4 linked regions of the Caenorhabditis elegans genome follow. The protein of the gene in region 3 purifies or fractionates together with the protein of the main gene of each other region. This does not show direct contact. Each region holds a gene or a part of one and is shown on either strand. Other genes may lie near its edges.

The links.
Region 1: the proteins of K02F3.2 (region 3) and ndua-12 fractionate together in Caenorhabditis elegans (co-fractionation; one large-scale study listed by BioGRID). This does not show direct contact.
Region 2: the proteins of K02F3.2 (region 3) and ZC449.5 fractionate together in Caenorhabditis elegans (co-fractionation; one large-scale study listed by BioGRID). This does not show direct contact.
Region 4: the proteins of K02F3.2 (region 3) and kat-1 fractionate together in Caenorhabditis elegans (co-fractionation; one large-scale study listed by BioGRID). This does not show direct contact.

Annotation. Positions count from the first base shown.
Region 1 is NC_003282.8:2,716,171-2,721,374, forward strand, and holds ndua-12 (putative NADH dehydrogenase [ubiquinone] 1 alpha subcomplex subunit 12), read right to left. Parts: upstream 3,665-5,204; coding exon 3,564-3,664; intron 2,488-3,563; coding exon 2,332-2,487; intron 1,940-2,331; coding exon 1,838-1,939; intron 697-1,837; coding exon 615-696; 3' UTR 517-614; downstream 1-516. Other genes in the region: Y94H6A.7 (Low molecular weight phosphotyrosine protein phosphatase), read right to left, coding at 359-401; ubxn-2 (UBX domain-containing protein 2), read right to left, coding at 4,395-4,539, 4,845-4,933. UniProt on the Caenorhabditis elegans protein: Accessory subunit of the mitochondrial membrane respiratory chain NADH dehydrogenase (Complex I), that is believed not to be involved in catalysis. Complex I functions in the transfer of electrons from NADH to the respiratory chain.
Region 2 is NC_003284.9:5,034,519-5,039,679, reverse strand, and holds ZC449.5 (Proteoglycan 4), read left to right. Parts: upstream 1-1,906; 5' UTR 1,907-1,971; coding exon 1,972-2,019; intron 2,020-2,200; coding exon 2,201-2,239; intron 2,240-2,578; coding exon 2,579-2,650; intron 2,651-2,696; coding exon 2,697-2,761; intron 2,762-2,814; coding exon 2,815-3,826; intron 3,827-3,869; coding exon 3,870-3,973; intron 3,974-4,021; coding exon 4,022-4,163; 3' UTR 4,164-4,650; downstream 4,651-5,161.
Region 3 is NC_003281.10:844,232-851,871, forward strand, and holds K02F3.2 (putative calcium-binding mitochondrial carrier K02F3.2), read left to right. Parts: upstream 1-1,629; coding exon 1,630-1,771; intron 1,772-1,827; coding exon 1,828-2,224; intron 2,225-2,813; coding exon 2,814-3,039; intron 3,040-3,459; coding exon 3,460-3,483; intron 3,484-4,109; coding exon 4,110-4,271; intron 4,272-4,487; coding exon 4,488-4,658; intron 4,659-4,731; coding exon 4,732-5,185; intron 5,186-5,419; coding exon 5,420-5,683; intron 5,684-5,734; coding exon 5,735-6,045; 3' UTR 6,046-7,113; downstream 7,114-7,640. Other genes in the region: moma-1 (MICOS complex subunit MIC27), read right to left, coding at 7,215-7,264, 7,314-7,602. UniProt on the Caenorhabditis elegans protein: Mitochondrial and calcium-binding carrier that catalyzes the calcium-dependent exchange of cytoplasmic glutamate with mitochondrial aspartate across the mitochondrial inner membrane.
Region 4 is NC_003280.10:7,072,005-7,076,055, reverse strand, and holds kat-1 (Acetyl-CoA acetyltransferase homolog, mitochondrial), read right to left. Parts: upstream 2,243-4,051; 5' UTR 2,242-2,242; coding exon 2,032-2,241; intron 1,930-2,031; coding exon 1,666-1,929; intron 1,570-1,665; coding exon 1,417-1,569; intron 1,367-1,416; coding exon 1,231-1,366; intron 1,182-1,230; coding exon 842-1,181; intron 768-841; coding exon 647-767; 3' UTR 545-646; downstream 1-544. Other genes in the region: T02G5.7 (Acetyl-CoA C-acetyltransferase), read right to left, coding at 1-250, 300-429; kars-1 (Lysine--tRNA ligase), read left to right, coding at 3,715-3,818, 3,883-4,051.

The sequences.
Region 1 (5,204 bases), on a different chromosome or scaffold from region 3:
GGATTTCTAGGCCATCAAGTGAAAAGTTAGTCCAGCCCATCTGAAAATAGCTAGTCACAATTCAAAATGGCAAGAAGACGCTTGTGGACTAACATCTCAGTTGGTGGCCTAGAAATTCAAAAGTTCGGCCATCGACTTTTAAAATTTTATTTTCTTCCAATTTTTCACAAAAATGTGCTGAATTACTAATTATTCGATGGGAAACCCGAAAAAAAATCGGTGGCCTAAATTTTTTAAAAAGTCGGCCACCAATTTTTTTCGCGCAAATTTGACCGTTTTTTCGTCAATTTTCCAAATAAAAAATTGCTGGCCTAGAAACCCAAACCTCGGCCACCTATTTTTCACCTAAAAACCGTACCTAAACACACCATCAGGACGCTTTTCTGCTCTCCGACGCTCATTTTCTGGGAAAAAATCAGATTTTTTTTCTGAAAAAAACGTGAAAAATCAATAAAAATATCACAAAAAGGTCGTAAAATCCTTCAAAAAATCAATAAAAATTGGCAAAAAAATCGATAAAAATCTACAAAATTCATATGATTTTAAACACAAAAAAACGGAGAAAAATCTACTTTTTCGAAAAAAAAAATTTCAGGGGCTCTAATTATAGATTTTCAGTCGAATTGTGGCTTCTCTCCTGGTTGCCATCCTTGAATTTTGGTACGAGTTGTCGAGTATGGAACGTACTTTTTGTCGCTGAAAAATTGGGAATTTAGGGGTTTTCTAGGCCATGTGAGTGGAAAACTAGTCCCCGGGATGTTTTTTGTGAAAAATTGACTTTAAAAAACAAGAAAAATGGCCGAAAACCGTTAGAAAAAGATGGTGGCCTAGAAAACCAAAAAGTTCGGCCACCAATTTCTTGAGTCCCCGAGCTGTTTTTTGCGGAAAAATTGACCAAAAAAATGTGAAACTCGAGCTAAAACAGCTGGAAACCGTTAAAAATTGAAAAAAAAAATTGGTGGCCTAGAAAACTCAAAAAGTTCGGCCACCAATTTCTTGAGTCCCCGAGCTGTTTTTTGCGGAAAAATTGACCAAAAAAATATGAAACTCGAGCTAAAACAGCTGGAAATCGTTTAAAAATTGAAAAAAATTGTTGACCTAGAAAACCAAAAAGTTCGGCCACCAACTTTTTTTTCGAAACTTGACGACTTCTAGGCCATGTGAGTGAAAAACTAGTCCCCGGGATGTTTTTTGTGAAAAATTGATTTTAAAAAACAAGAAAAATGGCCGAAAACCGTTAGAAAAAGATGGCGGCCTAGAAAACCAAAAAGTTCGGTCACCATTTTTTTGTTTGAAAATTTTACGATTTCTAGGCCATGTGAGTGGAAAATTAGTCCCCGGGATGTTTTTTGTGAAAAATTGACTTTAAAAAACAAGAAAAATGGCCGAAAACCGTTAGAAAAATTGGTGGCCTAGGAAACCAAAAAGCTCGACCACCAACTTTTTTTTTAAAATTTTACGATTTCTAGGCCATCCAGGTGGAAAACTAGTCTCCGGGATATTTTTTGTTCAAGAATCTGCGAAAATTGACCAAAAATAGGCGAAAAACGTCCGAAAAAATGATGGCCTAGAAAATGAAAAGTTCGGCCACCAACTTTTTTTTTTTCAAAATTTGACGACTTTCAGGCCATCCAGGTGGAAAACTAGTCCCCGTGATGTCTTTTCTTAAAAATTTACGGCAATTAAGAAAAAAAAATTGGTGGCCTAGAAATCCAAAAAGTTCGGCCACCAACTTTGTTTTTCTCAATTTTCATGATTTTTAGGCCATTTTTCACCGTTTTTCTTGATTTTTTCATTGAAATTCGTCTAAAAATCCAATTTTCCGTCGAAAACCTACGCGTAGATACTGGTGTTCTCCTTATGTTCGAGTACCCAATCCTGAGTTGGTGGTGGCTTCACCGATGGAGCATCATCGGTGATGTGGTGGAGCCAAGAGTGCCTGGAAAATTAAAGAAAATGATGAAAAAATGAACAATTTTGCGCATTTTTACACGAAAATTAGGCTTGAAAATCGGTGACCGAACTTTCGGATTTCTAGGCCACCAGGTGAAAAGTTAGTCCACCATGTTTTCCGGACATTTTGAGTGATTTGGGCCAAATTTGAGTGGTGGAACTAACTTTTCACCTGGTGGCCTAGAAACCCAAAAGTTCGGCCACCGATTTTTTTTTCGATTTTCATGATTTTTATGTCATCTATTTTTATTTGTATTTGTCTAGGCCATTCTAGGCCATTTTCTAGGCCATTTCTAGGCCATTTTAGGCCGATCTAGGCCATTTTTCGTGTAAAAAACAGCAAAATTGTTCATTTTTCGTCGTCATTTTTTTGCGTACCATTCCGGTGGCACTTGAGTCGCATCATAGTCGAGCCAAACTTTGTCGGGAAACTCGACCCAACGGTTGCGTGGCACGAAATACGCGTTATTCTCGTAGTAACGATTGCCGAAATTGTCCGAACCGACGAGTGTTCCGACGCGGGTCGCGTCCATTCTGAAAATTTGAGAAGATTTTTATGTAAATTGAGCGAAAATGGTGTAAAATTGGCCTAAAAATCATCATTAAAAAACAAAAGAAATCGGTGGCCGAACTTTTCGATTTTCTAGGCCACCATGTGAAAAGTTAGTCCCCATCGATTTTCGCTCGTTTTCAGGTGATTTTAAGCGATTATAAGCCCGCGCGGACTAACTTTTCACTCGCTGGTCTAGAAAATCGAAAAGTTCGGCCACCGATTTTTTTTTCGGTTTTTTATGTTTCTCCGGTCATTTTTCCGACGCGAGTCATTCGAAAAATTCAATTTTTCAACCGAAATTTTGATGAAATTAAGCGAAAATAGTGTAAAATTGGCATAAAACTCATTAAAAAAAAAACGGTGGCCGAACTTTTCGATTTTCTAGGCCATCAGGTGAACAGTTAGTCCCCCACACAAAATTGACCTGACGTATCGCGCAGGATGTCCAAATGAAATTGGGGGACTAATTTATCACTTGGTGGCCTAGAAATCCAAAAAAGTTCAGCCTCCGATTTCTGACAGATTTCATGACAAATTTCGTACATTTTTTGAATTTTTTAATACTGAAAAATTCAAAAAAAAAATTCGTGGCCGAACTTTTCGATTTTCTAGGCCACCAGCTGAAAAGTTAGTCCCCGCTGATTTTCGCTCGTTTTCAGGTGATTTCAAGCGATTATCAACCCGCGGACTAACTTTTCACATGACGGCCTAGAAAATCGAAAAGTTAGGCCATCAATTTTTTGATGTATTTTTAAAAAATAAAATTCGATTGTTGTAAATCGAAAAAAAAAATTAAAAATTTGTCAGAAATCGGTGGCCGAACTTTTGGATTTCTAGGCCACCAAGTGAAAAATTAGTCCCCCAATTTTGTTTTGACATTCTGCGTGATAGGTCAGGTCAGTTTTGTGTGGGGGACTAACTTTTCACCTGATGGCCTAGAAAATCGAAAAGTTCGGCCACCGATTTTTTTTTCGATTTTTATGATTTTCAGGTAATTTTCGACCGTTTTTCTTCTAATTTAGTGCATTTTCAGCCATTTTTCCACCTGAAAACTTACAAATAACGCTTCTTAAGCACCGCTTTGACACCTCCAATCTCCTTGACCATTTGGCCAAACTTTTGGATTTTATCGATTCCCAGCCACGCTTTCAGGGACATCTGTAATGTAAATTTGGTTGGAAAAATGGGAAATTTTAACGGAATGTGGGGAGGAAAAACCAAGCATTTTGTGAATTTTTTCAAAAAAAAATTTTTTATAAATTTTTTGGCGAAAAACTCCATATTTCCTGTGAAATATGATATTTTTCGAGTTTTTCACTGAAAAATCTTGAATTTTTTGAAAAAAATCAGGGAAAAATCGATTTTTCAGTGGAAAATTGGAACAAAAAAAGTGAATTTTTACATTTTTTGAAAACTTTAAATTTTTCACCAAAAAATCGCAGAAGAAGGATTTTTCTCTCTGAAAAATTGGGAAAAAATCTGAAAAATTCAAAATTTGACTTTAAAATTGAATTTTTAATGGAAAATTTGTAAAAAATGTGCATTTTTCACTAAAAATTGAAAAATTCTGAAAATCTGGAAAAAATAAAAAAAATATTTCAGAGCTTGAAAAACTCGCAAATTCCAAAACAAAAAATCAATAAAAATCGCCGCAATTTTTCACAGAAAACGGTGTACTTTTTTTATGCATTAAAGTGTGATAGAAGAAAGAAAAAAAACGATATTGGGAAATGGGGGGAAAAAATCAAATAATTTAGCGTAAAATACAGGTATTTTCAGGGAATTTGAGAGGTTTTGGGGGGTAAAAACGAGTAGAAATTCGAAATTTTTTCAGATGAAATTTTCAATTTTCAATTTTCCCGCCAAAAAAGCAGCGTCAGGAATCTCCTCAGTTGGTGGTGGGCAAGATTTTCACGGCGACGACCGAATTGAGCACATTTGCATCCTTCAGAGTCTGTGATTCGTCTTCAAATGGTTTTGGAGGGTAGGCAGCCATCATTTGGAATGGAGCGTAGATCATATCTGGGCGGGCGCTGGAAAATCAAAATTTTTAAATTAAAAAAATTTGAGTTTTTTGAAAGAAAAAACTAGAAAAATGTAATTTTTTAATTTGAAAAATGTAATTTTTTAATTTGAAAAATGTAATTTTTCTATCACTGTGTATATCAGAAAAATATTATTAAAAAATAATTATTCATTGGAAAATTTCGAATTTTTCAGGCTAAAAATGTGATTTTTAGATGATTTTTTTATTTTTTTAATTCGAAATTTTCTAAAAATCTACTTTTTCTAGTGAAAAATGAGAGTTTTTAATAGCTTTTTCCGGCTGAAAACTCACGTGCAAATGAATGTACGAACTGCTTCAAGTGTGTGAGAATGATTAAAAATACCGACGAGACGCTGATTGTTTGGCAGACGGATTTGGATCTGAAAATTTTGTTAAAATTAATCAAAATATCAGGAAAGAAGCCACAATTCGACTGAAAATCTATAATTAGAGCCTGAAATTTTTTTTTTTCGAAAAAGTAGATTTTTCTCCGTTTTTTTTGTGTTTAAAATCATATGAATTTTGTAGATTTTTATCGATTTTTTTTTGCCAATTTTTATTGATTTTTTGAAGGATTTTACGACCTTTTTGTGATATTTTTATTGATTTTTCACGTTTTTTTCAGGAAAAAAATCTGATTTTTTCCCAGAA
Region 2 (5,161 bases), on a different chromosome or scaffold from region 3:
AATTGTTTTAAAAAACTCCCACGACATTGTTGAATGTAATTTGATAGGGTCCCAACACGTCTCTTTTTCTTCCCACTTTCTACGATAACTGAAAAGTCATGTACCCATTTGTTTAATACCTGATACTCTTGACCTTCTCCCTACTGGTAGCTCTTGATCTCTATCCTGTCTTGTTACTCTCAAGTGGTGGTGTCAACGATCCTTTAAAGCTTCATTAATTAATTGAGTATAAAGTCACGTGAAAATGTGAAAAACCTAATTTCCCCTCTCGGTTTCCTGTTAGTTTTTGTCCTCCTACAACTACTCCACGAGCACGCAGCTTCCCGATTGGTTCAACGAGAGCCAACGTAAGATTGTGGTGTTTGTCAACTTGAACTACACTGAATTTCTTGCATCATCATCATCCCAATACAGTTCTTACGAACGTCTGTCTAAACGCAATTTCAGCCAATTTTCAGCCAATCACCAGTGCTCCCCCCTCGCTTGCATTGCATTGTCCATTGTTTTGTCAGTGACCATTCACAACAAAAGTTGTAATGTGTTCGTCTCCGCGTGTCGGTGTCATTTCCTATCATCATTTCTCTAATTTCAATCCCAGAAAAGAGGTCCGATTGTCAGATAGTGTCAATCACTGGTAACTTGTCGGTACTTTGTCTTCTGCCTTCAGCTCGCCGTGTCGCATTGTTTATGCGCATTCAGGCCAACTGACTCCAGGCTGGCAACAAGTTTTGAATATCCGCCGGAATCTCCAAAGCCCAGGTCGCCAGATGTGCTACATTCTCGGGTGTGGTGGTTTGGTTTTACGATGTCGCACAGTGTGCAATGCGTCAAATCTCCCAGTCACTTTGATGCGAATAATTGCTGCGTTCACGCTCTCTGTATTTTGAATTTTTTGCAAATCAAGCTACAAAGTGGATTTTTTTTTCAATCATCGAATCCAAATGAAGTTCACATTTTCATAAAATAAGCTGATCAGTTAATGAAATTGGCAGCTAATAATTGAATTTAAATCTTCCTTCTACATTTGGTAAATGCATTATTTCCTCTATTAGTATTACACCCATTCTTTCAACTTGAAATTTGATTTCAAAAATATCAATTACTAAATGTATTTATATATAGCGCTCATTCCGTGTGTTCATAGTTTGTAGACTATGTAGTTTTTGAAAGAAATTAGTTGACGTTGTGATTAGTGAATTATTAGGGTGAGGATCGGGGTGCGGTAGTGTGTAGTACTGTGTAGTACTGATACTGTAGTGTACTGTAGAATTACTGTAGTTCTGCATGATAGATGTACTGTAGTAGTACGATAAAATACAGCGAAAGTACTCTGTAGGGACACTAGTTTGTTGAAAAAATTTCAGCTGATTCGGCTGTCGCTGGTCAATTAATAGCTAATCACAAAACTATATAAAAATGATTGAAAAATATTGTTTTAGTTGATAATTCAAATATGAGCATCTAAAGTTGAGCAACACTAATAGAAACAATTCGGTTGAGATAATAAAAGTATGAGAAATTTCTTTCAACACTTTTTTTTGAAAGATTTTTGATCTTGTCCATCAAGTTCATTATTTCGCAATTTTGTTCTATCATTGCTAAAAAGTAACCTCTGTTCGCCGCCCACCCAGATTTATCAGCTCAACACTAGACAGCGGGTGCAAGTTGTTTTTGTCAACGGCCCCCGGGATCATTGTCACCCTCCCACTGTTTTCGTCATTTCTCAACATAAAACGTAGTTTTACGGTCTCCTTTCAGTGTGTTCTGAACAGTTTTCATGTTTAAATCGTTTCTGCAAATAATGCTTTACGTCATAATATGTAGAATACATTAATTCTCAAGCACTTTCGTTTCATTTTTTATCAGTGAGTTTTCAAATTAAAAATTAATTTCTAAATTCTTTCAGCTCCTTGGTTAGGTAATTTCCAACTTCTTCTGTCGAACGCCGATTATAGAAAAGCGATCGAAATCATGAAATTGTTTATTATCCTGTTGATTCTTGCGAAAGTCGCGTACACTGTAAGTTTACGTTTTTTTCTTTTTACAGCAGAAATATTTGATGTTTTGTGATCAGAGAACCATCTCTAACATAATTACACGTTCCGATACAATAATTCCCTTATCAGTTGTATCAACTAGGCAAATTGAAAATGCAAAACTCAAAAGGTCTAAATACTCTAAACAAAATTTCAACTTTCAGAAATTCCATTGCCAAAGTGGGCTAAGACGAGTGACTGAGGTAAGTCTTTCAAAGGTCCATAATGAATAAATTCGTAGTTACCACAACAGCGGCAATTGCTCCTTTCTATTGTACTTTGTGTACTGCCCACTCACTTCCGCTCACAGATTAGATAATTGTGTAGTACTATAAATGTTTTTGGTGTAGTGAACGAATCGCTATGTAATTATTATCCGAAAAGGCATGTATACACACCATTTTATTGAACAAGTACCAGTCAATTTCTCGGTTCACTGAACTTGACCTCATCAAGCCAAACTATGAAATTAAGTGAATAAGTACAACGGATCTGGAAAATATATACCCAGTTTAGGGACAGAGGTTGAAATACATTTTCAGATTGGATTGATCGAGAAATGCCTGACAAAAGCAGAATGTTCCGGAATGCCACAGTGTTCGGATACTGTTCTTGTAAGTTCCCGGTTATCTAGCATCAGTTTTCAATTTTGATTTTCAGGGCGGATGTTGCTGCTTGGAAAATAAGAACTGTCTTCTCACTCGTGCACGCAGGCATTTAAAAAGGTATACATATACTTCAGATTTTGCAAAATCAAAAACAACATCTCTATTTTCAGCACAACCCCAGCTACAGATGATGACGATTCTGAAGAGGAAACCACAACAGTGAAATCTCACAAGAAAAAGTCCACAAAAACTACCGATGCTCCAAAAACCACAGAGGAACCAGCTAGCACCAAGAAATCCGAGAAGAAAAAGACTGAATCGAAAAAGGCTGTCAAAACGACCACAACAGCCGCTCCTGCTGAAAGTGCCGAGACTGAAACCCCATCGTCTGAAGAAAATAAGACGACGGAAGAAGAGTCTGGAAATGTATCTGCCGAGGAGGTCACTACTACATCTTCTACAGAAGTCTCGGTTGAAGAGGAGCAAACAGTGAAGTCTACGGAAGCATCTACCGAAGAAGAGAAGTCTACTGAAGCATCGGAGGAGGCTACTACCACTAGTTCGGAAACATCTGAGACCACCGAGGAAAGTGAGGAAGAAGAGACCACCACAAAGCCTGCAAAGACCCACAAGTCTTCAAAGACCACTACCACCACGACTGAAGCATCAACAAAGAAGGACTCTAAGAAGTCTCACAAAAAGACTAAGGAGGAAAAGGTTACCACAACCCCAGAACCATCAACGGAAGAATCATCGGAATCACCAGAGACTAGCGAGGAGCCACAGTCATCGGAATCCACACCAACGTCTGAAGAATCCACAGAACAATCTACAGAGAAGCCGAAGAAGGAGGACAAGAAGGACAAAAAAGACAAAAAGGACAAGAAACAAAAGAAGGAAGACAGCGAAGAAGATGACGATGATAAGAAGAGCAAATCCTCGTCTTCGTCCGATTCAAAGACCGACGAAAAATCGACTTCAGAATCTGATTCTTCATCGGAAGCTTCATCTGAGAAGACTGTCGAGGGCACTAAGAAGACATTGTTCTCCGGACCACCAGACTCTGATGAGGATGATGATGATGAAGGAGCAGGAGCTGATGAAGCATTCTTCTCTGAGAAACAAGCTACCGAGGCACCAGCCGAGCTCTCCAGAACTACTACTATGGCTGTGAAGAGCAAGGTTTGTAATGATAAAAAATATGAAAAAAAGAAGTTATTTCCAGAAAATGAAGAAGTCTGAGAGTGGATTCAATTTCATCCCGTTGGTCATTGCTGGTTTCGTTTTCTCTGGATTGGTTGGAGCCGGAGTTTACATGTTTAACAAAAAGTAATTAAATTTACCGATTAACATATCTAAAACAAATTTTAATTACAGGAAGGAGGAAAGAGAAAACTTGTCGACGGTTGATGAGAAAGAGCTGACCACGATTGCTCCTCTTCTTGAGGATCAGAAGGAGTCCGCCGAAGTCGACAGTGCTCCAGCTGCAGGGGGAAGAAAAGATGAGGATGACGAGTAGATTTCTAAGACCGCCGAATAACAACATTACATCGTATTCATCTTTTCTTTTTCAATTATGGTCTCGTTTTCTCACTCCCATCACATTTTCAGTTTTTGTCTTTTTATGAATTTTGAATTTTAAATTTTAAAGTTTAAATTTTGGATTATAATTTTCAGTTAAACTCTTTATTCTAATAATTGCAGTTATTATTCATTTTCATCCATCTTCTTCTCCTCCTCCTTTTTTACTTGTAAAACTGTTCACCCACACTCTTCACTGTCATTTTCCACTCCTCCTTCGCTTTGTCTCTTATAGGTATACAATTTTCCGACGAATTGCAGTTGTGACTTCGCGGGAATCTTTTTTTGTGTCGTTCTTACACGTTTTTAGTTTCTCTCCATGATTCATAAATTCGAGATTTTTTTCGTACCATGATGATAATAATTAATCTGATGCTGTACTATATTTGGTCTTTTTCTGATTTTCAATAAATTAAATCTTCAACAAAGATCACTAGATCCTTTCTCTTTCATAAATTCTTCGATGAGGACAAACAAATAAAAAATAAAATTTTCGAAAATGAAGATATCCGGAATTCCGCAGATTCAGCTATGTCAAACTTGCTCAACCTACTTTGAAAATAATTTAGGATTCACGTCAATTATTTACCAACTGAACCGAACAGCATAAATCAATACTGCCACAAATGTTGAATTTTTGTAAGTCAACATTTTGGTAAATTGGCAAATTCTCCAAAATTCCACTTGTAGGGCATTAAAAAATTGTGGAAATTTATTTAAAAAATTACAAATTGTGGCAAATCGTGATAGAAGAAAACTGAGTTTTTACTATTTTTTGGATTTAAATTTTAAAAAAATTAAAAAAAGGTTTTGATTCCTAGGAGCGGTTTCAAACTATTTTCCTCACTGACGATACTTTGCGTTTTCAGCGATTGCCAACTTTGAAATATTGCTACATTGCGAAAACTTTCCTGAATTAAGGAGACGTATAAAAGC
Region 3 (7,640 bases):
GAGACGAGAGACCATAACCAACATAGATTACGCAGACGACACAGAGTGTGGGCAGTCCGGGGGGCATGTCATCGCAAAACTGCCTGGCCTTTAAGTGAGTGTTTCCTTTTTACGAAGGTTCGGCTTTATAGCAAATCCATTCAAATCCAGAATCTCTCAAGTTTTTAATTAGCTCATCAAAATTACAAAAACTTTGGCCTAGAGTACTTTCAAATTTATCTACGTGATAAACCTCAAGTCTGGGAGGTCGCCAAGTTCCTTGTCTTGGCAAAAAAAACCTGTGAATCAACTTTTCCTGTTGTCGTGTATTCCACGTTGATTTTTTTCCTCTTTGTCCTCTATATCTCCTCCCAATTCTTGGCTTTCCTCCTATGTACTTCGGAAATAGATGTCCACCGCCGCCTCTCCCTCCCCAAAAAAAAGATGAGCTTGAGAAGAGTGAAAACGAGAGAAATATCTTTTCTCACGCAGGGAGCATCAGAGCATAGCAGCAGTTGACGGGAGCCTTTATGTTTTCTATTCCCTTTCTTCATTTTTTTCTTACATTCCAGTTGGTAAATATTGGGTGGAGGTAGGAGAGGGAGAAAGGTAGAGACAGAATGAGATAACAGACTATTCGGTTTACTTATGTTACTTTGTGGCCTAGTTTTGGTGTAGTATTATTATTTTCTTGCAATTAGGGATTTTGCTTTGTTGGAATTTTTGCAACTTCTTGAGTAGTGGGGCCCTTAAGGTTTCAGATAGTACTCAAGTTGTTGATGGAAAATAACAGAAAATTCAAGGAATTTTTGTCCAACTAAGGATCTCGATGGCACCTCAGCATGTGCACTATTTTTCCACAGTGTATGTGTGTGTGTGTAATATAACAAGTCAAAGATCCTATCTCGTTTTCCCTGACAGTTTGGCCTCCTTAGAGTTTACATCTACATCCCTGGTCGGGTGAGAAATCTAAATTTGGGTGAAATTATACCCTTCCGTCCAACTAAACTCCTTGTACACCTTTTTTTATCAAGGTGTAGTCATTTACACCAGACTACACTACGTTCTTCCCTCCCCAGTTCTTGATTACTCGTATTTTGTGTTTCTAGATATTTTTGGCAATTTAAGTTTGGACCAGGGGTGTGCGGCAATCGAAAATTTCCAGCAATCGGCAATTTCGACATTTGCCGGTTGTCAAAATTTTCGGCAATCGGCAATTTCGGCAACTACCGATCTTGGGAATTTTCGGCAATCGGCAATTTCGGCAATTGCCGGTTTTCAAAATTTCAAGGAAGCGAAGTATCTCTGATATCATTTGTCTGAGTAACATTGAGATCATGGGGATCAAATTTTGTTTCACGCACGTTTTCATTCTCTGTGTCTGTCAACATTATTGTACTAGAGAACGCTCAGCACACGATTTTATCACATTTTTCATCTTATCGCATGTTGTTTCCCTGGTTATCATCTGATTTAGGCAAAATAGTTCAATATCTAAATTTAAGCTTCGCGCTAAAAATTATTGTCAATAGAGCGCGTTTGCAGCTAGCCATATTTGTCTCTTTTATTTTATATTAATTTACATGCGAAATTCTCGTTGATTTCCTTGATTTCCTTGAAATCATTTTTTTAGTTTTCAGGCCCTCGTGAATGTCTTTCGATCATCTGTTGACGTCATCAAAACGACGAGAACTCCTACAAAACTTGGGAATCGGACACGGAAGCGATGTGTTCTCCACGGGACTGTTCCGTAAAGCAGAATGCAATGCAGAAACTGCAATTAGTCAAAGATGTAAATATTTAATTTTACAATTAATAAATTATATTTAAGTTATTTATTTTTTTCAGCCATTCCACGAGCGAATCCAGACCATCTTCGTCCGATTTTCGATCGATTCGCGACTAAAGAAATAAAAGGGAAGAAGTTGATGACCCCAGAGGATTTCATTCGAGGATACTTAGGTCTTTACACGGAAGAAAACTATAATAAGGAGACTGTTCGTCTTCTTGCTTCCGCCGCAGACACTACAAAAGATGGAGACATCTCATTCGAAGAGTTCTGCGCTTTTGAAGCTCTCTTGTGCAGCCCGGATGCTCTTTATCTCACCGCTTTCGAACTTTTCGATCGAAACGCTTCGGATACCATTAGCTGTGATGAGTTTGAAGCTGTGATTCGGCATACTCAGCCTTTGCATGATCAGGACTTTGATTTTAGTTCGGAATTCATCAAGAGATATTTTGGAGCGTAAGTTTTTGAGAAATCTCACTGAAAAATATTTATTCAGATTTTCAAATTTTAAATTGCAGCGAAAAAAATATAATTCACTATAAAAATCGATAAAATCAAAATTTTAATTTTAAAAAAAGTTTTTTGGGTTCTTAATTTTTTTGAAAGAACATTTTCAAAATTTTTCAAAATTTTTTTCCTTTTTTTGAACGAAGAACTGAACATTTTTGATTTTCTCTTCAAATGGTGGTGTACTGAAAGCTGAGAAAAATTATTACATGACTATTAAATGGCAAATCTTCCCCTGATCCGAATATCTAAGTGAAAAAATTCAAAAAAAAAACCTCTCTGGCGCGTAAATTCGGCGTTTGAAAAATACCATGGGTGCAAAAATGAAATTCGCGATTTCAAGCAAAAATATAAAATAAGGGAAATTTTTTGAATTTTTTCACTTTGACATTCGGAGTCGGGAGAAAATTTGGAGTTATTTAAAAATATTTCTCAGAATTCGGTACTCCACCTTTAAACTTTTCCCGGTTGGTAAATATATTTTTTTAACTCGAAAACTGCTCCATATTTCCACATATAAAAATTTTAATTATTTCAGTGACAAACAACGAAACGTGAATTATCATTCATTCTGTCAACTTCTTCATGATTTCTACGAAGAACAGGGTATCCAGGCATTCAAAAGATACGATAAAAATGGAAATGGAACCATCTCATCACTGGATTTCCAACAAATAATGACTACTGTCAAAGGACACTTGCTCACGGATTTCGTTCGGCATAACCTCATTGCGGTGTCTGGCGGCGGCGCCAGTGGACACAAGGTGAGAAAAAAACATCTGAATTTAAATTAATTTTGCTTGAAAATTTTCGGAAAAAGTTGGAAATTCTGAAGTATATTCAAAAATGGAAATTGAATTTTGTCATAAATGAAAACGTCGGTCTTTTCAAAAATGACTGGAAACTGATTTTCGAAAAATTCGAAAAATATCAATAAATAAGATATTCTAGATTTCCGAGTGTTTCCCATAATTTTAAAGTAAAATCCTCATTGTTTCTCTGATTTTTGCTCTGGTTTTTAATTATTATTTTACTAATTCTGATTTTCTTTTTTTTTTGAAATAGAATTCCTTAGTATTGGAAGTGAGTTTTCCAAATGTTGTATAGTGGAGTGATATAGCATGTTCATTCGTAGATTCCCAAGTTTTCTAATTTTTTTTGGAAGTGGTTTCCTTCTTTTTCAGTTTTCCGACACTCGAGGTGGATTTGTAAGTTTTCTTTTCTGTCATTTTTTGGGTGTCCTTTGTTTTGGTTTCGTGATTTGTAGGTAGGCCAAACGAAAAATCAGCATGCTATAAAAATTCTTAGTCGATATTGTGTAAGTAATAATTAAACCGCTTAGAAACCATAAATAGAAATGCAACAAAGTACAAACAATTTCGAACAATTTTTTATATTCGGATTTTTAGAAATGTGGTCGAGACAAAATTATTTAAATAAAAAGAGTTAAAAAATATTTTTTTTGCTTTCATTCTTTTTTCAAAATTTCAAAGAAAAAAGCTAAACTCACTTTAGCTATAATCTCAAAACTTTTCAACTTGTTCTAGTGGTCGGAAAATGATTTTTTAAACTACTTAAGAATTTCGCATGTGTTGGTCGATTCGATCTTCGAAAGGTTTTCAGTCGATATACACCCGTTCGGTAACTTGTTGGCTGAAGTTTTTGCGAGCAAGAAAACACACGAGATTCTATGATATTCGGGCTGATTTTTGCATGATTTCTTAAGTTTCCTATGTTCAATGTATGTTTCTTCGTTCTGTCCTGCACCATGTCTTCCTCAAGAAGCCAATACCTCTCCAGAATCTCGATTCAATAAAAACGTTTCAATTTCCAGGTGACCTTCCCTTACTATGCTGCTTTCAACAGTCTTCTCGCCAAAATGGAACTTATCAAGCGTGTCTACGTATCGACGACACGTGGAAATTTGGACATTGAGATGACGAAAGAAGAGTTTCTGCATGCAATTCAAAGTTATACACAAGTTACTCCTTATGAAGTAAGCAGGAAATTCAGATATTCCCAAAAAACCAAAAATTGATTGAAATACGGAATCATCTTTATAAGCAAGGATGTCATTTTTATATTTTCGATGTTTTTCAGGAAAGATCGGAAAATCTAAAATTTTTAGATTTTCTGAAACAATCAAAAAATATAATAAAAATAAAGTTATTTTTAAAGTAATTTTTTAAAATGATTTTTCAATTTTTTCCAGGTCGAAATCCTGTTCCACTTGTCAGAGTTGAATCATCCAGGACGGAAGACGCTCTGTCTAAAGGACATTCAGGCAATTGATCCTGAACGTCTGAAGCGTGTTTCACAAATGGATCGACTTATCAACATCAAAGCTGTGCACCATAAAGATGACAGAGGTGTTGGAACTGCGGTAAGAATTTTTTGGCGCCGGAAATTTGTTTACAACTACCTATATTTAAATTCCTAAAAATTTCATATTGCAGTTCCTCGAATCCGCGTACCGTTTCTTATTAGGATCAGTAGCCGGAGCATGTGGAGCGACTGCAGTGTATCCGATTGATCTTGTGAAGACACGAATGCAAAATCAACGTACATCTGGCTCATTCGTCGGAGAAGTAATGTATAAAAACTCTCTGGATTGCTTCAAGAAAGTCGTGAAGTTCGAAGGACTCTTGGGTCTTTATCGTGGACTTTTGCCTCAAATTGTTGGTGTTGCACCAGAAAAAGCTATCAAATTGACAATGAACGATTATATGAGAGATAAATTCACTAAAGACGGAAAAATTCCACTTTATGGAGAAATTATCGCCGGAGGAACCGGAGGAATGTGCCAAGTTGTGTTCACAAATCCCCTGGAAATTGTTAAAATTCGATTACAAACTGCCGGAGAAGTACAACAAGCGGGAAAGAAGATCGGAGTATTCACGGTTCTTAAAGGTGCAGCATGGTGCATTCTCTGACGCACCACGTTTTCGAGATCTAGTTGCAAACAAAATCTACGAAAAGAAGATCTACCAAAACAAAATCTACGTTTTCGGGATCTGGCGGTGCCAAATCCTAGATCTTCTTTTCGAAGATCTCGTTTTCGACTAGATTTTTAAAACGTGGTGCCTTTTCTTCTGGCAATAAAGACACACAAGAAATCGCATAATACTCAAACTTTTAATTCAGAACTCGGTTTCCTTGGACTCTACAAAGGATCCCGTGCGTGCTTCCTTCGGGATATTCCGTTCTCAGCAATCTATTTCCCGGCATACGCTCACGCAAAACTCGCATCTGCTGATGAAGATGGAATGAACTCACCGGGAACACTTTTTGCTTCCGCGTTTATTGCTGGAGTGCCTGCCGCTGGTTTAGTAACACCTGCCGATGTTATCAAGACTAGGCTTCAAGTAGCTGCACGAGCTGGACAGACGACGTATAATGGAGTCATTGGTACAGTTTTTGCCTAGTTTCTTAGTTACTTACTCTGACAAAAAATTACAGATTGCGCTCGGAAGCTGATCAAAGAAGAGGGTCCAATGTCACTATGGAAGGGTACAGCTGCACGTGTGTGCCGTTCAAGTCCTCAATTCGCAGTTACTCTTCTCACTTACGAGGTTCTCCAGCGCCTCTTCTACGTCGATTTCGCCGGATCCCGGCCGACTGGTTCCGAGCTTGCGACGACGAAGACAATTCAAGACGAGTCGTCAACGAATCCGGATCACGTTGGTGGATACAAGCTGGCGGCAGCTACATTCTCCGGAATCGAACACAAGTTCGGATTGTTCTTGCCAAAGTTCGAAACGAGCAAGTAGAGAGTCCTATATATTCCCCGTAGTCAGTGTGTGTTGTTTTAGGTAAAGTGTTCGATCCTAGTCTTATTTTTGAACTTCTTCTGTATTTTACCTGTACTATGCTGATCAGGGATGAGTATTTTAATTTCACGAAATTTTGAATTTTCAGTATCTGAAAATGTATCGTTAAAAAATTATTTTAATGTGGCTTATACATATTTTGGCGGCGCTCTCATTATAGACATTCGAAAAATATTGAATTTCAGAGGTTTTACGCATCATTTTATGGCCCGATTTTCTGGAATTTAAAATCACGAAATTTCTTGAAAATTGGCTCAAAAAATTATGTGTAAAACCTCTGAAATTCAATATTTTTTAAGGTACTAGTCCTAAATCACCCAGCCACTTTTTCAAATAAAAACGTGTGGAGTTTTTGTATTTTTAGGCTTAGGAAATAACCATTTCTAAGCCTAAAGATGGAAAATGGACATCACGTTTTATTAAAATGGATAATATTAAAATGAGGGGAAATAATACACAAATCGAAAAAAAAGTGGCGGGGTGATTATATGCCAAAATATGTACGAGCCACATTAAAATCATTTATAGCCATACATTTACACCCACTGAAAATTCAAAATTTTCTTGAAATTAAAATGCCCACCCATAATGCTGATCCCCCGCTGCCCTCTCGCCTTCTCACCAGAGATGTGCTGCACCTTTTTTGAAACTTTCGGAAAATTTACAAAATTTTTCTTTTTTCGTTGTTTAGACGAAGTTTTTATTGGAAATTTAAATTATTTTGATTTTGATTGAAAGTGAAAAGTTCCTAAAAAAAAAGTAAAAATATTTCTGTGTTCCAATATAAATTTTCCAATTTTATCAACAAAAAAATGTGCCGCGCCTCTCTTCTCACCATCCCCTAGATTAAATTTTTGCGGGTGACTTTCTCTCCCTTCCCCACCCTCGCCCGTTCTATATATATATTATATACATAAGATTTATTTTCTTAATTTGTCCAAAAAGTGCCTCCCTTTCTGTTTTTCTCAGTTTTTTTTTCTTCAAATTTTGCATAAAAATCGCATTTTTATTTCACTACTACAGGAACACTGGGTTCGGCGCACACACAAAAAAAGAAACCGCTAGACATTCGAGTGGATATTTTTTACACACAAACAATTATTTTCCAATTATTTCGGTGGGCTCAAGTTAGTTTTGACGATGGCAGATGGAGTTGGAGCTGAAAATTTTATTTATTTCTCTCTGATTTTCAGAAATTTCAAGCCTACATTCTTGGAAGGAATACCAAGTTTGTTCAGCATGAGCTCTTCCGGTCTTTGCCACGTCAACAGCCTCTATCGGATAACAAAAGGCGGCCATCGTGGCCAAGCCGATGGTAGTGGTGAGGAGACGTCCGACCGGGCCACGTTTCAGGCCTAAAACGAATCCGGCCATTCCACCAACGGTGATTGCTGCGGCTTTTGGAAGAGCAGTCCATTCTTCTGTCAGATATGCATTGCATTTGGTCGCCGCTTTTTTTGTTTGAGTCATCGCACAATCGACAACTTTGAAGCGTTCCTGAAACAAAAATCGGTGATAAAAATATATTTTTCACA
Region 4 (4,051 bases), on a different chromosome or scaffold from region 3:
ACGTAAAATGGAACTTGACTCATATTTTCAGTTCCAACAACAAGAATAGTGTCATAATATCCTGCTTTGATTTCCACAGCTGCTGTCACCAAGGCTTTCATCGAAGAAGAGCAAACCTTGTTCACCGTAACAGCTTGCGTTGTTACTGGAAGACCAGCCGACAAAGAGATCTGTCGGGTCACATTTTGTCCTAGACCGGCCGGAAGTACGCATCCACCAATTACTTCTTCGATTTTCTCCGGAGCAACTCCTAAAAATATTTAATATTTGTTTCAAAATTTCATTATCAGTAATTTAACCTGATCGTTCAATTGCTGCCTTTGCAGCGACCGTTCCGAGCTCAACTGCGCCAAAGTTAGCGAAAGATCCTCGGTAAGCTCCGATGGGAGTGCGAGCTCCACTCAGAATGAAAACTTTTTTATCCGACATTGCGATAGACTGTCTGAACTTTGGATTATTAGAAAAATCGCATACGAATAAAAAAAGATAACTGAAATTGGTTTGAAACCAATGAAAGAGAAGTAGATAATCAAAATAATAAATGAATCTATTTACCGGAGTTTCGATATGAGCGAAAAATACATAAATACAAGCTAATCGTGAAAAAAGGTAACAAACTTTAAACGAAAAAAGTTAAATTATAAATCTATAATTTCTGGATAACCATTCCACTTGAGCCACCACCTCCATTGCAAATGGCAGCAACTCCGATTTGGCCACTTTTGAGTGTGTGCACAAGATGAGTGATGAGGCGGGCTCCGGACATTCTGAAAGAAAAATAATCGATAACAAATTTACGATAAGAATGCGGAAAGAACGGTCAACTGATATGGCAACATACCCGATGGGGTGACCAATTGAAACAGCTCCTCCATGTGGGTTCACAAGGGATGGATCGACTCCTAGTTTTTTGATGAAAGCAAGGGGAACACATGAGAAGGCTTCATTAACTTCCCATTGAGCAACATCTGATTGCTTCACTCCTGCTCTTTCAAGAATTTTTGGGAACATCAAAGTTGGTGCTACAGCGAAATCGAGTGGGTGCGTGGCGGCATCTCCATAAGCCAAAATTCGGGCCAGAGGCTTTAAGCTTTGCTCGGAAACTGCTTCCTGTGAGGCAACAATGACAGCAGCTGCACCGTCGTTCAATGTTGAAGCATTAGCAGCAGTGATAGTTCCGTCTTAATATATTATGTTGATTTCAATTTTCACGATAAGAATAGTACAAACCTTTCTGGAAAACAGTTCTCAGCGAGGTGAACTTGTCGAAATTGACTTTTGTGAACTCTTCATCTTTATCAACAATCGTGACTCCCTTCTTTGATTTGACGTTCACTGGCACCACTTCTGGTCCGATATTTCCATTCTAAACAACATGGAATCATAAAACGCACAAAGAGCAATCAGTTGACAAACCTCCCATGCTTTAGCTGACTTTTTGTAGCTGTTGATAGCATATTCGTCTTGGTCTTTACGTGTAATTCCCATTTCTTTTGAAGTCTTCTCTCCGCAGTTTCCCATGTGAACTTTATCATAAGCATCGGTCAGTCCGTCTTTGACGATTCCATCCTGAATAAGAAAATGTGAGCATTGATTTCTTTTAAAGAAGTTTAAAGACTATTTTTAGACAATTTAATATTTTTTAGAAAAATAAATTAAACTCACAATCACTTGAAATCCACCATATGGGATCTCTCCTCTTTGAACATAAAATGGTACTTGTGACATGCTCTCCATTCCTCCGCCAATGGCAAAATCTTGATGACCGGTTTGAATTTGCTGGGCAGCAAGAATGATTGCTTTCAGCCCAGAAGAGCACACTTTATTGACGGTGGTAACAGCAACCGAAAGATCGAGTCCGGCTCCAAGAGCTGCTTGACGAGCGGGAGCTTGACCAGCATTTGCTTGACAGACTTGACCAAGGAACACCTGAAATTGAGGCATTTTAAGATTAAATCGGTAGTTTTTGGAAGTGATATAGAATTTCAGATATTACTAGTATAGAAAAATGCAAACAAAGAACACACTCGCCTCCTGAATTGAACTCGGCTTCACTGCTCCACGCTCCAATGCTGCTTTGATGGCAACCGAGGCGAGCTCTGGAGCAGTTACCGAAGAGAGAGAAGAACGAAATGATCCAATAGGTGTACGGGCGGCTCCGACGATGAAAGCATGTTTGTTTGATAGTGCAGCAGATGTGGTGATTCCGCGGCGAATTGCGTGTCCAGACGATGACAACATTCTGAAAAAAAAAAGAATTGACTCGACACAACTTGTTTTTGAAAATAAGATAAGAGAATGAAGAAATTCGTTCGGATCGAGATGAATGAGAGACAGAACAGAAGAAAGGAAAGATTATGATGGTTAAATAGAAAAGCTAGTACGGCGGTGGAGCGAAATTGCACTTTCTGTAAAAAAAAAGAAGGAAAGAGAGATATAGATTTTCTAGTCAAAAGTAGTGCTAATAAGGTTTTGTCGTTCTCATAAAAGAATTGAGATTAGTTACGTGTAGCTGTGAACTTTGGCGGTTTCGATACTCCTAGGAGCTCCTTGATTCTTTCATACAGGAGTTGCACTTGCTTTTCAAGAGTTCCCACGTGCAATTGAAAGTCAACTGTTCTTCTGTGACATCACACTGGAGACAGTAAAGAAAGAGAGTGAGAGCAATGTTCATATATCTAAGATCAAATGATGATGACAATATAAACTATCATTACACAACATTTCGATGCAAAAACGTTGAACTGTCTCTGAACTGCCATTTTCTAACACCTAAAGTGCTACAATAGGGGAGATAATCATAAATTAGATTTACAGCCTAAAAATTATGAACATCAAACGCGATTTTTAAAAGTTTGATATATATTTTAATCAACAATTCAATATTCGCCTAACAATTTTAAAATGCTCCATTTCGAATAATCAGTTTTCTTACTGATATTTTTTTAACTAAAACAAATGATTTCACAACAAATATTGCAACACTTTCCATCAGATTAAACAAGAAAACGCAACTCTGATAAGCTTTGTGCTTTATAAATAAAACAAAACAAAAATTAAATTACTAGCTTATGGTTGAATGAACTTTGGAAAGTTCTAAATTGGAGACACTACCGACACTGGAGAAATGTATTCCGTAGAAATGCTGCTTCATTCATGCGCGTTTTATCCATTGAATGCGTTAATAAAAACTTTGCTTAAAATATTGAAAATATTATTTTAAAGCTTTGAATAACTTTTTGAGTTAAATAATAAAGATAGCCTTCCAAAAACTACCATCGAATCTCTAAATTTCTTTCCTCCGTTTTCCGTTTCCTCATTAAATACAAACGCGCTCTAAAGCCAATGTCCGAACGCTACAAAATTTGGGAGGAATTGAGCATTTTAAAATGCATTTTGAGATGTTTTCAGCTCATTTTCATTTAGATTTTTCGCTTTTTGTCCATAATTCCGATACAAACTTATCTGAGACAACAATAAAAATGCGTCAAGTGTGTCTTAATTTCCCTAATCTTCAGACTGAGATATTTCGCTTTAGTTTTAGGATTTTCTAAAAACATGAGTTGAATTGTTCCGTTTTCTGCTTTATTTCCATAATTCCATGCAATTTTTCTTAAATTAATTGATTATTATTTTTCAGCCACTTTCAAGCACTGTCACAGGGCAATGAGCGAGCCAGAGGCCAAATTGAGTAAGAAGTAAGTGAGAAAAATGATGATCGTGTCTCATTCGATGTTGAGCCGATCGGCTGTTTCATTCTTGCGACGTAGGTCGTCTTCATTTTTCGGGACGTCAGTTTTTCTGAGCCAAAACACTCGGTTAGTCGACGTGTCCTCAGATTTTGTGACAACCAGCACCATTGATCAATAATGTTTCTTTCAGTGAGCAGAAGAGGCTCGCCAAGCAAGCCAAGAAGGAACAAGAACGTCTGGAGAAGGATGCTGCTAAGCTGAATGTTGCCGTCGCTGATGCTCCAAAAGTTGTGCGAGAGGCGGATCCTTCTGACCCCCAAGAGTATTTCAACATGAGAGTTAGGATGATTGAGGCCCGT